Schizosaccharomyces pombe: one gene and its partner. The protein of the gene in region 1 interacts with the protein of each later gene in a biochemical or structural test. Each region holds a gene or a part of one and is shown on either strand. Other genes may lie near its edges. The genes, in order: ams1 and nbr1.

Evidence for each region.
Region 2: the proteins of ams1 (region 1) and nbr1 are reported together in a solved structure, tested with the Schizosaccharomyces pombe proteins (one study listed by BioGRID).

What each region holds. Positions count from the first base shown.
Region 1 is NC_003424.3:2,912,717-2,920,778, reverse strand, and holds ams1 (alpha-mannosidase), read right to left. Parts: upstream 6,301-8,062; 5' UTR 5,879-6,300; coding exon 2,645-5,878; 3' UTR 2,418-2,644; coding exon of another isoform or gene 1,311-2,417; 3' UTR 501-1,310; downstream 1-500. Other genes in the region: dhd1 (dihydrodiol dehydrogenase), read left to right, coding at 1,311-2,417; SPOM_SPAC513.04 (uncharacterized protein), read right to left, coding at 7,074-7,376; M-factor precursor Mfm2, read left to right, coding at 7,595-7,716, 7,759-7,771.
Region 2 is NC_003423.3:985,583-990,458, forward strand, and holds nbr1 (protein Nbr1), read right to left. Parts: upstream 2,928-4,876; 5' UTR 2,723-2,927; intron 2,420-2,722; 5' UTR 2,256-2,419; coding exon 1,062-2,255; 3' UTR 801-1,061; downstream 1-800. Other genes in the region: SHREC complex ATP-dependent chromatin remodeller Mit1, read left to right, coding at 1-742; subfamily NudF ADP-ribose diphosphatase Ysa1, read left to right, coding at 3,976-4,593; Swr1 complex histone chaperone module subunit Swc2, read right to left, coding at 4,835-4,876.

The DNA of each region.
Region 1 (8,062 bases):
AATCGAACTGTTGGATTTTATTATCTATATGAATGAATAGAAATAATTAATTTTGCAATTGAATTTATCCCCAAGTAGTATTTGTAAATATTAAATACCTTTTGCCAAAATTAACTATGTGTTTAATACAGTAGCCAAGATTATACACATTTGGTTAATAGGACAAATAGCATATCGCAATGCAGCGCAACGAAATCTTTCGGAACTTGTTTAATTTTGAACATAGCTAGCGTATTATTCCTAGGACTTATTTTTTGTTTCCTGTTCCTCCTTCTCCTTTGATTGAAAGTTTCTAAAAAAATATGCTTTCAATGAACGTCTATCTTTAACTTCTTTTGTCTATTTGTTATAGCTACCATCTCATCTTTTTAACAACGCACGTGGAAAAGCGTTACAAAGTATATACCGCATGAATTATTTTAATTCTGTAAAATAATAAACCGATAAATGACGCTTTACGCTATCTCATATGTATACAGCTTTATGGAATTTGCAATACGATAATTAATATTATCTGTAAATAAAAGTATTTTCTTATAGCAGTACGTTCGCATACGAATGATATGGATCAATTTAAAAAATCAACTTCATATTCATGAATGCATATTCAAAGGATTAACTCCCAAGTAGTATAGTTTTTACCTTTGACGCTATGATCCCATCAATTTTTCGTTTAAGGATAAAACACAGACTTAGTCGATAAAACCCTAGTATATTTACAGTTTGTCTTAGAAGTAACGAATTGACAAAACAACTTGATTCCAAGTGTTAGACCAAATTCTGGAACCATAAACTTGTGTACGACTATCGCACATGTTTTCTCTAGGTATTCAAACTTCCACCATTCCAAGATGTACTGAGTTTCAAAATTTTCAATCTACTACTTAACAACATTCCTATTAAAGAGTGAACAGTGTGATAGACATATTCAGGTCATAATATGATCTTTTATTCATAAGCAATCACTCTCGGTAGTCAATCATTTTTAATGACACTCATTTACTTCATAGTGGTGACTTCAAAGCGATATCCCGATAGCTAACGAAAATCTTATTATTTAGCACGCAAATTGGAAACACATGTACTTACGCTTACATAATTGTAAATGTATATAAGCTTCGATAAGTACTGAACTCATAACCACTTCTTTGCTCTGTGGTTTCTTCTGTGTTTGCTTAATTCTCCAACTTTTTGTTGCTATAAAACGGACACTTGGGTCAAACAAACGGTTGGAAAAATATAATTCAGTTTTTCTTCTCATAATATACAATCGTAATTTTCCTTTGATTCGTTGAACGTAAGTTTTGAAAATGACTTCTATGAGTGGTGCCAGTCCTGTAATTCATTGGGGGTTCTTGGGTGCAGGAAGTATAGCTGCGGTCTTTGCCAAAGATCTCGTAGGCGTACCAGAGCGTCACAAAGTTCAACATGAAATTGTGGCTGTCGCTACACGTGACAGTGAACACCGTGCTTCCTCTTTCGCCAAGAATCATTGTGCCCCATGCAAGCCTAAAGCGTACGGTTCATATGAGGAATTGGTAAAGGATGATAAAGTGGATATCGTTTACATTAGTTCGACCCACCCTCAGCATTATGAAGTTGTCAAGCTTGCCTTGTTGAACGACAAAGCAGTCTTATGCGAAAAACCTCTTACCATTAATTATCCAGAAGCACTAGAATTGGTGGAATTAGCGAGAGCAAGAAATCTATTTTTCGCGGAGGGTTTTTGGATCCGTTTTTACCCAATTGTAAAGGCTGCCAAGACTCTTCTACATGAAGATCGTGTTTGTGGTGATCACTTCCGTCTTTTTGTAGATTTTTCACAAGATTTTCGTTTCCGTGAACTACCCTCAGAATCCCGTTTACGCACCGTTTCTTTGGGCGCTGGCGTTTTATTAGATATGGGTGTTTATCCGCTTACCTGGTCTCGATTACTGCTCTATGATGATCCCAAAAATGAAAAGCAAGAGCCCACTGTTTCCTCAAACGCTCTTACCTTTGAAGATCATAACGGCGATATAGGGGATTATACTACAGCAGTTACTCTAGTATTTCCAAAAACAGAATCCATAGCTATGCTATGCACCTCAATGGATCGTGGTAAAATGTCCGATGATTTTCTTAAATTGGATGGAGAAAACGGTAATCAGTTGTTCATTTCTGGTGATTGCTATCGCCCACAGAGTATTAAATTGATACGTGCTTCTGGGGAGACAGAGGTATTTGACTTTTCCTTTGATGATGCTACTGGATTCTTTTACGAACAGGATGCCGTCGCTGAATGCTTATTAAAAAACATGAAGGAGGCACCTGAAATACCCCATGAGGAGACATTGAAGATGATGCAATTAACTGATCAAATTCGTAGACAAATTAATGTCACATATCCTGCTGATTTGCGTTATACCACTGCGTAACTGCTGGGATAAAGAGCTTAATTGGATTTCTGCTTTTATGAGTCTTATATTTTTATGAAAGATTTTTAAAATTTGACGTGACAGTTAGTACTATAAGTAGTTGTTAAACGAAACTTTGCAAACCTAAGCCAAGACAATTAGTTAAAATATGTTTACTTCTACTGCGCACATTTATCATGAAAAGATAGATATTCTTTCTTTACTCTTGGTACTTTATGAATATAATATTAAAGGTTCACCTTGAATGTAGCAATCTCAAAAGCTCTCAATTCAATGGGAACCTCATAATAGTCATTCGATTTTAGCGTGCACAATTCTTCCAAGTCTTCTTCTAAACCATTACATTTCGTAACAGAGGCAACTGTAAGCGACTTGATAACCAATCTGGCACGAGATTTCCCACCAAGGGATTCATAAACGCGTAGAATAATAGATTTTCCTTTCTCTGCCATCTTTATATGACTCAATATTACATTGGGCTCTCCAACTAGTTGGAAAGCATCAAAGATATCTAGATTTGCTGTGTCAGAAGCACGAGTAAGTAAACGGAAGTTACTATTAAACTTATGAGCGGCTCGGACGGTAGAAGAATCTAGAGGTTTTGAGTGGGGATATACAGCATATCGGATCGTGTGTTTGCCCATGTCAGCATGAGCATCTGGTTGCTTGGGAGATCTAAGCAAAGAGAGCCTCATTAAATTTCCATGTGTGGAGAACCCATATTTACAATCATTAAGGACGGATACTCCGTAGGTAAAGTCCGAATAATCAGCAAATTTTTGATGGCATACTTCAAATTTAGCAACGTCCCAAGACGTATTGTAGTGCGTAGGCCTTTTAGTAATGCCAAATTGCGTTTCATAACTAGCGAATTCAGAATGAATATCGACGGGAAACTCCACTTTCAAGAATTTGCAACTTTCATGCCAATCCACTTCGCAAGTAAAGTTTACACCAGTAAACTCGGAACAATCATTGTACCCTTCAAGGGAGATGGTGGCCTTCATATGACTTAATTCACTAATAGGGATATCCACAACTACGGATGCTCTCAAAGGACCAGATTCTTTGATGCTGACTTTTCCTTTATCTAAAACTTCATACTTTTCCAATGAAAAAACCTCCGTATCCCAAGCTTGCCAAGATAAAGGAGTATCTTCAAACAAAACATACTGATTAGCTCCTGCATGATTTTTACCAGATTTTAAATCAAGAATCTCCCGTTCTTTGTGTAAATCAAATAAACTAAGTATAAGACCATTCGGTGCAATAGTAACTCTTAAGTGGTCGTTTACTAATATGAAATTGTCATCTTTCTGATAGGCAGCAGCAGGGTGCTTCAGCGACGTATGAGCGGCCGTTAAAATTCCTTTACCGTCACAAGATTCGAAGTAAACGAGCTTGTTTTCCTCGGTTTCCGTGATTACACCACGAACATTCCAAGGCAGGGTATTCAACAAGCATAACTGTTCTTTATTATCAGAAGAGGAAGCTTTCTTAAAACCAAGCTGTTCGATAGCCTGCCATAAAAGAGCTTCGGTATTCTTTAGAACCTTACTCATGATAGGAATAGCATCTTTGTAAACCATCTCGATACAGGATCCAGGAAGTACATCATGAAACTGACATAACAAGGTGTCTCTCCAGAGGTCTTGCAGGCTTTCTTTGGGATACGAATAATCTTTACTAAATATAGAAGCCAAAGTAGATACATATTCTGCATCATGCAGCGCTATCTCTACTTTGCGCATTAATTTCTTAAGCTCGGCCTGCGTAGTGTACGTTCCACGATGAAATTCAAAATATAATTCTCCATTCCATGAGGGTAACGTTTGACCGGCATTGGTTCTTTTAAGTATGCCATCAAAAAATTCGTCCACCGTATTTCCAAGCTTTACGTTTGGCAAATATCCAACGGTATTCGCAATTCCTTTACACCGACGAAGTTTTTCAAGCATTTCGGGAGTAGGGCCACCACCACCATCACCAATACCAAAAACGAGTAAGCCTGCTTGATCGTTAACAAGATTTTTGTGTTGATCTATTGAATGCAACACGTCGTTAACGTTGGTATCAGCAGTATAAGTATTTGCAGGCGGCATATGGCAAATAACTTGGGAGCCGTCTAATGCTACCCAATTAAATGTAGAAGTAGGAAATGAGTTGATATTATTCCATGACAATTTTTGAGTCAGAAATCTATCCATTCCACAAAGACGACAAATTTGTGGAATTTGACTAGAATACCCGAAAGTGTCTGGTAACCAAAATGTCCGACAGCGTACTCCAAATTCTTTCTCGAAGAAATGCTGTCCCAGTAAAAATTGGCGAATTAAGGATTCTCCATTCGGAATATTTGTGTCATGTTCAACCCAACTACCACCAATCGGGATGAATTTGTTTTGATTCACATATTCTTTTAGCTTCTCAAACACATCAGGGTGATCTTCCTTGAGCCACAAATACTGTAGTGCCTGCGAGCAAACAAATTGATACTCCGGATAACGATCCATGATGTTCATCTGAGTAGCCCAAGAACGGACTATTTTACGTCTCGTTTCTGCAAACGGCCATAACCATGCTGTATCAATGTGACAATGACCGATTGCGAACACATTTGCTTTGTCATTATTCTTCTCAAAAACTGCCTCAGAATCAATGTCATTGCCAAGGAACGCTTTTGCGAGATTTCGGCACTCATTAATCGTAGATAAGTCATTAGGATGAAAAGTATTCATAATATCATTACAAATTTGGCGAGCCTTGTATTTCTGCCAACAATTGGAAGGAAGCTGTTTGACACACTGCTGCATAAGAAGAAAGTCGTATGCCAAAGCCATGGCAGGAAGATTAGGAGCTACTAAATCAGCTTTGGTAAGAGTAAAGTATCTGTTTGGGTCAGGAGGAGCAATTTGACTGCCAGCACCAGTTCCAAACATCCCATTACAAGCCATCTCAATATAAAAAGTATCTTCAGTGGTTTTCCACGAATCGGGCAATATGAAATCAGTTCTTTCAGACCCACTAAAAGCTTGAAGAGGAACACCATCTTGTGAATAGACCAAACCTTCATTATCGCAATTCCATTGAAAAATAACCTGTTCATATTTAGCCCACGACTTTGGCAATCGAATATGAACCTCGAACCAGAAAGTTGCCCAACTAGGTCCAAATGTATCTCCCTTGGAAGCAGTTTCATCGAACTTTTTATGTCCTACCACTTCATTGAAGCTCGGACGAGACAAATCGGGTACACGGTAGACCTTTAAATCAACAAACCCTTTGGATAAATCATTATTAACATCTCCACTAGGGTTATCAATCCGAGCGTGATCGTAAACACTTGGAAGATTAAAATCTCTATACTGCCCTTCGGACAAGAATTGATCAAGACGACTTTCGTAAATCGAGTCAACTTGTTTACCGACAGGAGTATTATTTAATACTGGGAAGAGTGTCATAGCAATCGTCTATAGCTGAAAAGATAGCACGGTAGGTGTAAAGTATATGTAATTTAGGTATGTTTTTTTGTTTGAAAAATTTCCAAACAACCTTAAACTGCTGAGGAAAGCAGAAGATCTTTAAATTGAAAACGTTTGGTAGGAACGGAACGTGGAAGAATAGATTGGCTAAGACTTAATCTGTCTTTGTTTATTTTTCAATAATTAAAAAAGACTTAAAAAACTATATAAGACCAGAATAAGTAACTTAAAAAATCTCAATGAATAGAGAGTATGTTGGTTACAATAACAAACAAACAATGCGATTCAACCTCAAGAAGTCTATCCGCGAATGAAAAGTTTCAATTTAAGCAAGTTTGTATGCCAAATAATAACGAACTAATCATTAAATTGACCTGATAAATTTAGAGTGGATGTAGTACAAACTAAGAATGTTCAGCTTTCCTATCAAACACATCAAATTCGGGAAGTTGATGTAAACTGAGTCCTTTATTAGGTACATAATTCCGATGTATGTAATGTGGTTTTACGAGTTGAAAAATCAGCCCAATGTCTATATAATGACGGAGCTGTGCTTGGACTATGTAACTAGGTTATCGCAAGGCCAGCCGAGATGTGCAAAAGTACCGTGAGCGAAGGTGGAACTTGCTATTTCATTAGCGGTCGGAAACAAGATTCAAATATCATGAGATTAAATTGTATTATTCATAAAGTAGTGAATTGTTAATACATATATATAGTACAGTAAAAATTCTCAGCAGCATTGAAAACGCATTTTCATTTTCGTTATTTGCGAAAAGCGAGGGATATTATATTGACAAAAAAGTATCAAATTCTCGTGAAAAGAAGAAACATTTGAATCAAAGATAGTTTTATGGATGAAGAACAAGATTTGTAAAGCAGCTAAATGGCTTGACTATTCTTAAGTTTCTGTCGTGAATTATTAAACAACAACAACACGGCGCGCTACAACGCGACGCGAATTTAATTTAAACAAGTAACAAACGACGGCGGTTTGTTTTGTTTTCGAATAACATACCTCTCCATTTTATGAATGGAAAATAGAAAAGTGGATGCTTAAACGTAGGTATTACAGGAAGATAAAGAAAATTGTTTTTTAAATATTAAAATAATAAAAATTATGGTAAAATGTTTTTGATATATATGAAAATTCAGTGTTGTGTAATACCTGTTTTTATTGTATCACTACATGTTTTTTTTGCCCTAAATATTGACAGTGGTAAAGAAACGCATGATTGTGATTATTAGCATCATCTAATACTAGCTTTGTTTTCTCTTCTCTTTTTTGTACCAAAACACTTATCGTTTGCTTTTTCGTCTCCCGCTTCCTATTGTTTTTCAATAGTGCAATAAACAAAGGCATCAACACAATAGGTGTCTTTGACAATTGTACATTAAGAAAAGTCACCATTAAACAGATAATGTTTAACGAGGACCATATTCTAAAGTACAATGGTTCAGCCATCTTTGCGGTCATTGTTTATATTTTGGCGACCGGCATAAGGCATCCCTATTCCAGAATTAAACAATGGGTCAAACAATAGGCAAATGAACAAAGAGATCACAGTTTCTGGGGAATTGGCATTTTGCAAAAGGTATTTATAGGAAGGGAAAATGTACATAATTATTATCAAGTTATATTGACTTCTCATCTAATACACACTTCTATTTACGTTCTTTTCATCAATATTAGACATGGACTCCATTGCAACTAACACTCATTCTTCATCCATTGTCAATGCCTACAACAACAATCCTACCGATGTTGTAAAAACTCAAAACATTAAAAATTATACTCCAAAGGTTCCTTATATGTGGTAAGAATTGTTAGTATTTACTCATTCTAATTCAATATATAGTGTAATTGCTTAATCAAACTGGAATCTTTTTGCCAAGGTTTACCAGCAATTTATGTTTGATTTTATTCATTTTTTTCCTAGGGAATACAAACTTGTAAAGCACTTTATGAATACTTTTTGCAATTTTATACTATATGTGTCTTTTCCTTATAACCCACGTGCCTTAACTTTCCAATGTTTGTGATTTCTAATTGCATCGTTTTGCTATTTTTTTTTTATAATTAATTAATTTATGATTCTGTTTTCGTCAGTTATTATCTTCCTTATATATGAGTAAGAGACTGTGTAAAAAGTAAGACGACAA
Region 2 (4,876 bases), on another chromosome or scaffold:
AGGCTCCCCATTTCCCATAGAAACTGAGACAATCAGTTCGATAACAGATACTTTATCTGATAAGCAAAAACTCAAATATGATTCGAGCGTAAATATCGAAAACTTAAATGATGAATCTGATTCTCAAAAGTCTGCAGATGTTCATTTTGACTCTATCTTAGCTAAATCTCTATTAGCAACAACTCCCAAAGAAGATGAATTTAACAAAACTCTATCCACCATCAATTTAGAGGTGGCTAACAAATTAACTTCTTCAGAGTATATTAATGATTCGGAAATGCAACTGATAGACGATCCAGTTTTTTACCCACCTTACGAAATAATTGAAAAAAATCATCAACTGGTTGGAAGATCTTTGTCTAAAGCAGTTCTTGACAACTTTTTTCTACTGTCTTCTTTGTCTGATAATGTACGTTGTCGATGTTGTGGTATTAAACATTTACCAGCACATTGTCCATTAAGCATTGTGCCATTAGAAATATGCTTTTTATGTGGAACACCTCACTTTAGTGGAAGGGACACGTGCCCTATGTTACGAAATAAGGAAGCGATTTATAGACTAAAAGATTCGCTTAGCAAATCACGAGAACCATTTCACATCAAAAAACAAGCTATGGCTAGATTAAACTCGTTTCTACAAAAAAAGGAGGAACCTACTGTATCAAGCAGTGCCAAAACTAATGAACTTTCATCGAAAGTAATCATAAAGGAATCCATAATTAATGAAGCAAAAACTCTTTAGAGTTTTATCATCAATGTATACTATTATTTAATCTGGCATATTCATATGTATCCTGCATTTTATTCGTTAATATATAATTTTTAATATAAATTTTAAACATATATAGCATTTCCATCAAGATCATTATAACAAGGTAGGATCAAATATGGTAACAAGTGATTCAACTCTGAAGCAAATCATGAACTTAAAACCGGCGGTTATATACGAACAACCGCCAGACAAGTGGACAAAAGAAAGAAATATAAAACTGAAATCAGTTTCGTTATCGTTGTCTTCCACACTAAACTTCTACAGGACATAAAAAGCGTTACGAATGGTTTCAAAAAGACGACTTACTAATTCTGCTAAAAGACTTCGGTACACGAAGGAAGGCGCAAAGACTTTTGTGAAAAACGCTACCATCATCGGAGCAGATATTAAAAAATGCGGTAAAAATCTCTTTGTTACTTTTTTCAGGAACCTTCAAAGCAACTGTAAAATTAACATCCTCACCAGGATGAACGGAAGAAGTGATAGGAAACGAATATGGATTGTCTCCTGGAAAAAGTTTGTCTCCACCATTAAACTTGACATACAACGGAGAAGGCCACGATTGACAAGAAGTATTCCTTATATGCCATATTTTATAAAACGGGCAGCCAGGGCTTAATTCTAAGGGGAGAATGGAGTCCTCAACTAACTTGAAGTCGAAATTAAGAACCTTAGGTTTTTCAGGTTTAGATAAATGTAAAGGTGAAGCAGATATTTCGCGAGTTAAACGGAGCATTGAATGATGATCATGATGCACATGAGATACACATGAGGAGCAAAGATCATAGTCTTCACAAACCAGACAATGAAATCTTGGTCCAACTATTGGATGAGCAAGACAGTTGTCACATTGAACCGATCGATGTACTGTTGAGGCAGACTCAAACAATTCGGCTGATAGGAACTGAGGGAACAAATGAAATGAAGGAAGACCATGAGGATAAGCTTTAGTAATTCGAACGAAAGCATGCGTGTTTGAATGACTATTGTCGGTAAGGCAAGACTCACAAATGTCGTAGTCATCACAAACACTACACTTGTAACGCACATTATGTATAGGTTGCTCACAATGGTCACAAATGGCGTACATAAAATTAGATTGGGGAGAAACTGACATAGAATTTACGCTGCAGGTTAAGGAAGCAACTGAAGGGATTGAAGAGCGAACAAGTACGAAATGGGGTTTTGGGCAAGGATGGAGGAATGCCTGTTTCGCATAGCAGTCTCTACAAACATCGAAATCGAAACACTTTGTGCAATGAAATGAGTCATTCCGAATTATCTTGAGGCAAGTGTTACAAGCAACAGAAGAAGACCTTAAAGTAGGCGAATTATTATTGTGCTCAAAAATGTTTGACTTTAAATTATTCTCCTTAGTGAAGTGGATATTAGCGACTGAGGAATGAAAAGGAGGGAAGGAAGGAACACTATGGTTGCAAAGAATCCCACAATCAGAAGAGGGACATGTACGATTGCAAAGCATTTCGGGATCAAAAACGTGAATAAAATAAAATAAAATTTAATGATAAAAGAGAGCGTTAAAGAAAGCAAAAAAAAGAAAAAAATCGCGTAAGCAGTCAAGAAGTAACTCGAGTTCTTAGGTAAGAGAAGGTCTTAATTGTAGGTAAAAAGCTCTTTCGAAATAAGCTAAAGCAAAATTAGTAACGATATTAACTAATGAAATTAGTTGCAAAGTAAAATTTAATAGTTCATATGAATTTTGAAATTGAGGAAATATGTGACGCCGAAGTGAGCAACAGTGCTAGCAATTTCAGAGTAAAGGCAATAGAAAAAACAATCTTTATCAAGACAAGGATTTTTACGTTCTCGTAAATATTTATCGAAGATGTTATTATTAAAGTTCCATCAACCACTTTAGTCCTTCAATCCTTTTTGTAATTTGTTGTACAAACATTGAACTTAAGACTTTGTGCAAGTAAATTATCTTACCTATAGACGGAACAGGAAATAAAGACAAAACAAATAATTGAAGCGGATGTGTAGAGATACAGTGCAAACGAAATGTAAGGAGCGTTGGAATTGCAACTATAATGACGGGTTCCTAATTGGTTATGAAATCAAGCTATTAATTCTAAATGGGATGTATTCAACGGGTGAAGTGAGCAGGACAAATTCGCTAGTAGAAGTTGATGGTAATGTAAATGAACGAGGTCGAGGTGTAAGCTTATCACACGTATATGGGGGATGAGCATATCGTACTGATAATAGATAAGTTAAGCGTCGCTAAAAAGTGGTAGCGTTTAGAAGCGTGCACAGCATAAACAGTAACTTAGCGAATTTATCTACAAGAGGTTGGTACTTCAACGCATGGCCCTAAAAATGAATATATGAAAAATTTTGTTGATGTAGCAAACTTGAAAAAGAAATTGATTTAGTTAAATTGGAAACTACTTAACTTAAGCCCTAAAATGTACTTAGAAATCGGCTTAGACATTAAACTAGATATGGGTTATGGCATAAATGTAATTTAAATGAGATGTGAGTCGATAAAGTATTAATATTATATATTCTTAAATCATAAGTTGACGCTATTCTAATATCAATAAGCGATTATGAACTGAAAACGTAAATAAATGCAATTTCTCTTACAGCGTAAAATCTTTTACTACAATAATAGAAAAGGGTAGGAAAAACTCCATTATATTGGCTAAAACCGGTCACGGTATCTTTTGATGATCCGTTTGTAAAATCAATTGCAAATGAAAAGACACTAGAGAAGGTGATAAACGACCAGTTTATAGCTAAGTTAATAATTAATGGTATACTCCGCGTTATGATTTTGCTCAAATAATAATTTTGGTTTTTTGCTGATTGTTAATATTTACATTAATGAAATTTGTAAATATACGTCAAAACAAATTAACATCATACTTACATTGTCATACTAATCGCACGTTTACGCATTAACGGGAAAAAAGTAAGCAATATTTCAGTTGGATTTTAAGTCACTCATGCACCGAAATTTTTTCCAGCATATTATTAAAAGTACAAGAACATTAGGTATAAATGCAACTTCATTTCTAACCCGATATTTACTTAACGTTGGTAGACACCAGCATCCTCCGAAATTGATTAGCTCATATTCTCACATCGCTATTTCCACCTTCTCTTTTCAAATATCAGCAACTTCATTCCAACACCCTTCATACACTGTCAAAGGTTTGAGCACCTGTATTGATAAAATGAGCCAAGATCAAAAACCTAAAGTTTTGGAAGTGTCCAACCTTGAGAATCAGGATGCCAAGTGGACATCCTTAAAGAAAATCCGTTGGCAAGACGAAAAAGGAAAAATCAGGTTTTGGGAAATGGCTGAACGTACGACACGTTCAGAAGCCAATGTGGATGCCGTAGCCATCTTAGCCATTGTTCCTATCGACGGAAGTCCTCATGTGTTGTGCCAAAAGCAATTTCGTCCTCCTATTGGCAAGTTTTGTATTGAAATTCCAGCAGGTTTAGTTGATTCTAAGGAGTCTTGTGAAGATGCTGCGATTCGAGAGCTTCGTGAAGAGACTGGCTACGTTGGTACTGTTATGGACTCCACCACTGTCATGTACAATGATCCGGGTCTTACGAATGCTAATCTTAAGATTATACTGGCTGACATTGACATGTCGAAGCCTGAAAACCAAAATCCTCAACAACAACTTGACGATGGCGAATACATTGAGAACTTTCCAATCAAGCTTTCTTCTTTACAAGAGGAATTATTTTCTTTAGAGAAGAAGGGATTTGCCATTGATGTTCGTCTCTCCACATTTGCACTAGGATTACATGCTGGTCTTAAATACTTGTCGTCTTAGCTATGCACCTTTTGCTATTCACTGAATTACGACCGTTTACTATTAAATGTTGCTAATGGACTTTTTATGCTATAACTTTCCTTTGTTTTAGTCAAACTTTATTAAAAATAATATATATGTCTATCCAATAATTCCCGTTACCGTGTTCCCCATAATTCGTAGTTCATTGCGTACATAACTGAAAAGTAATCAAAAGAAAAGAAGAAATACCAGTTATTAAGTTCACCATTACCATACATGCCTAATGAAAAAGATTTAACATTGCGCTCCATGAATAACGTTG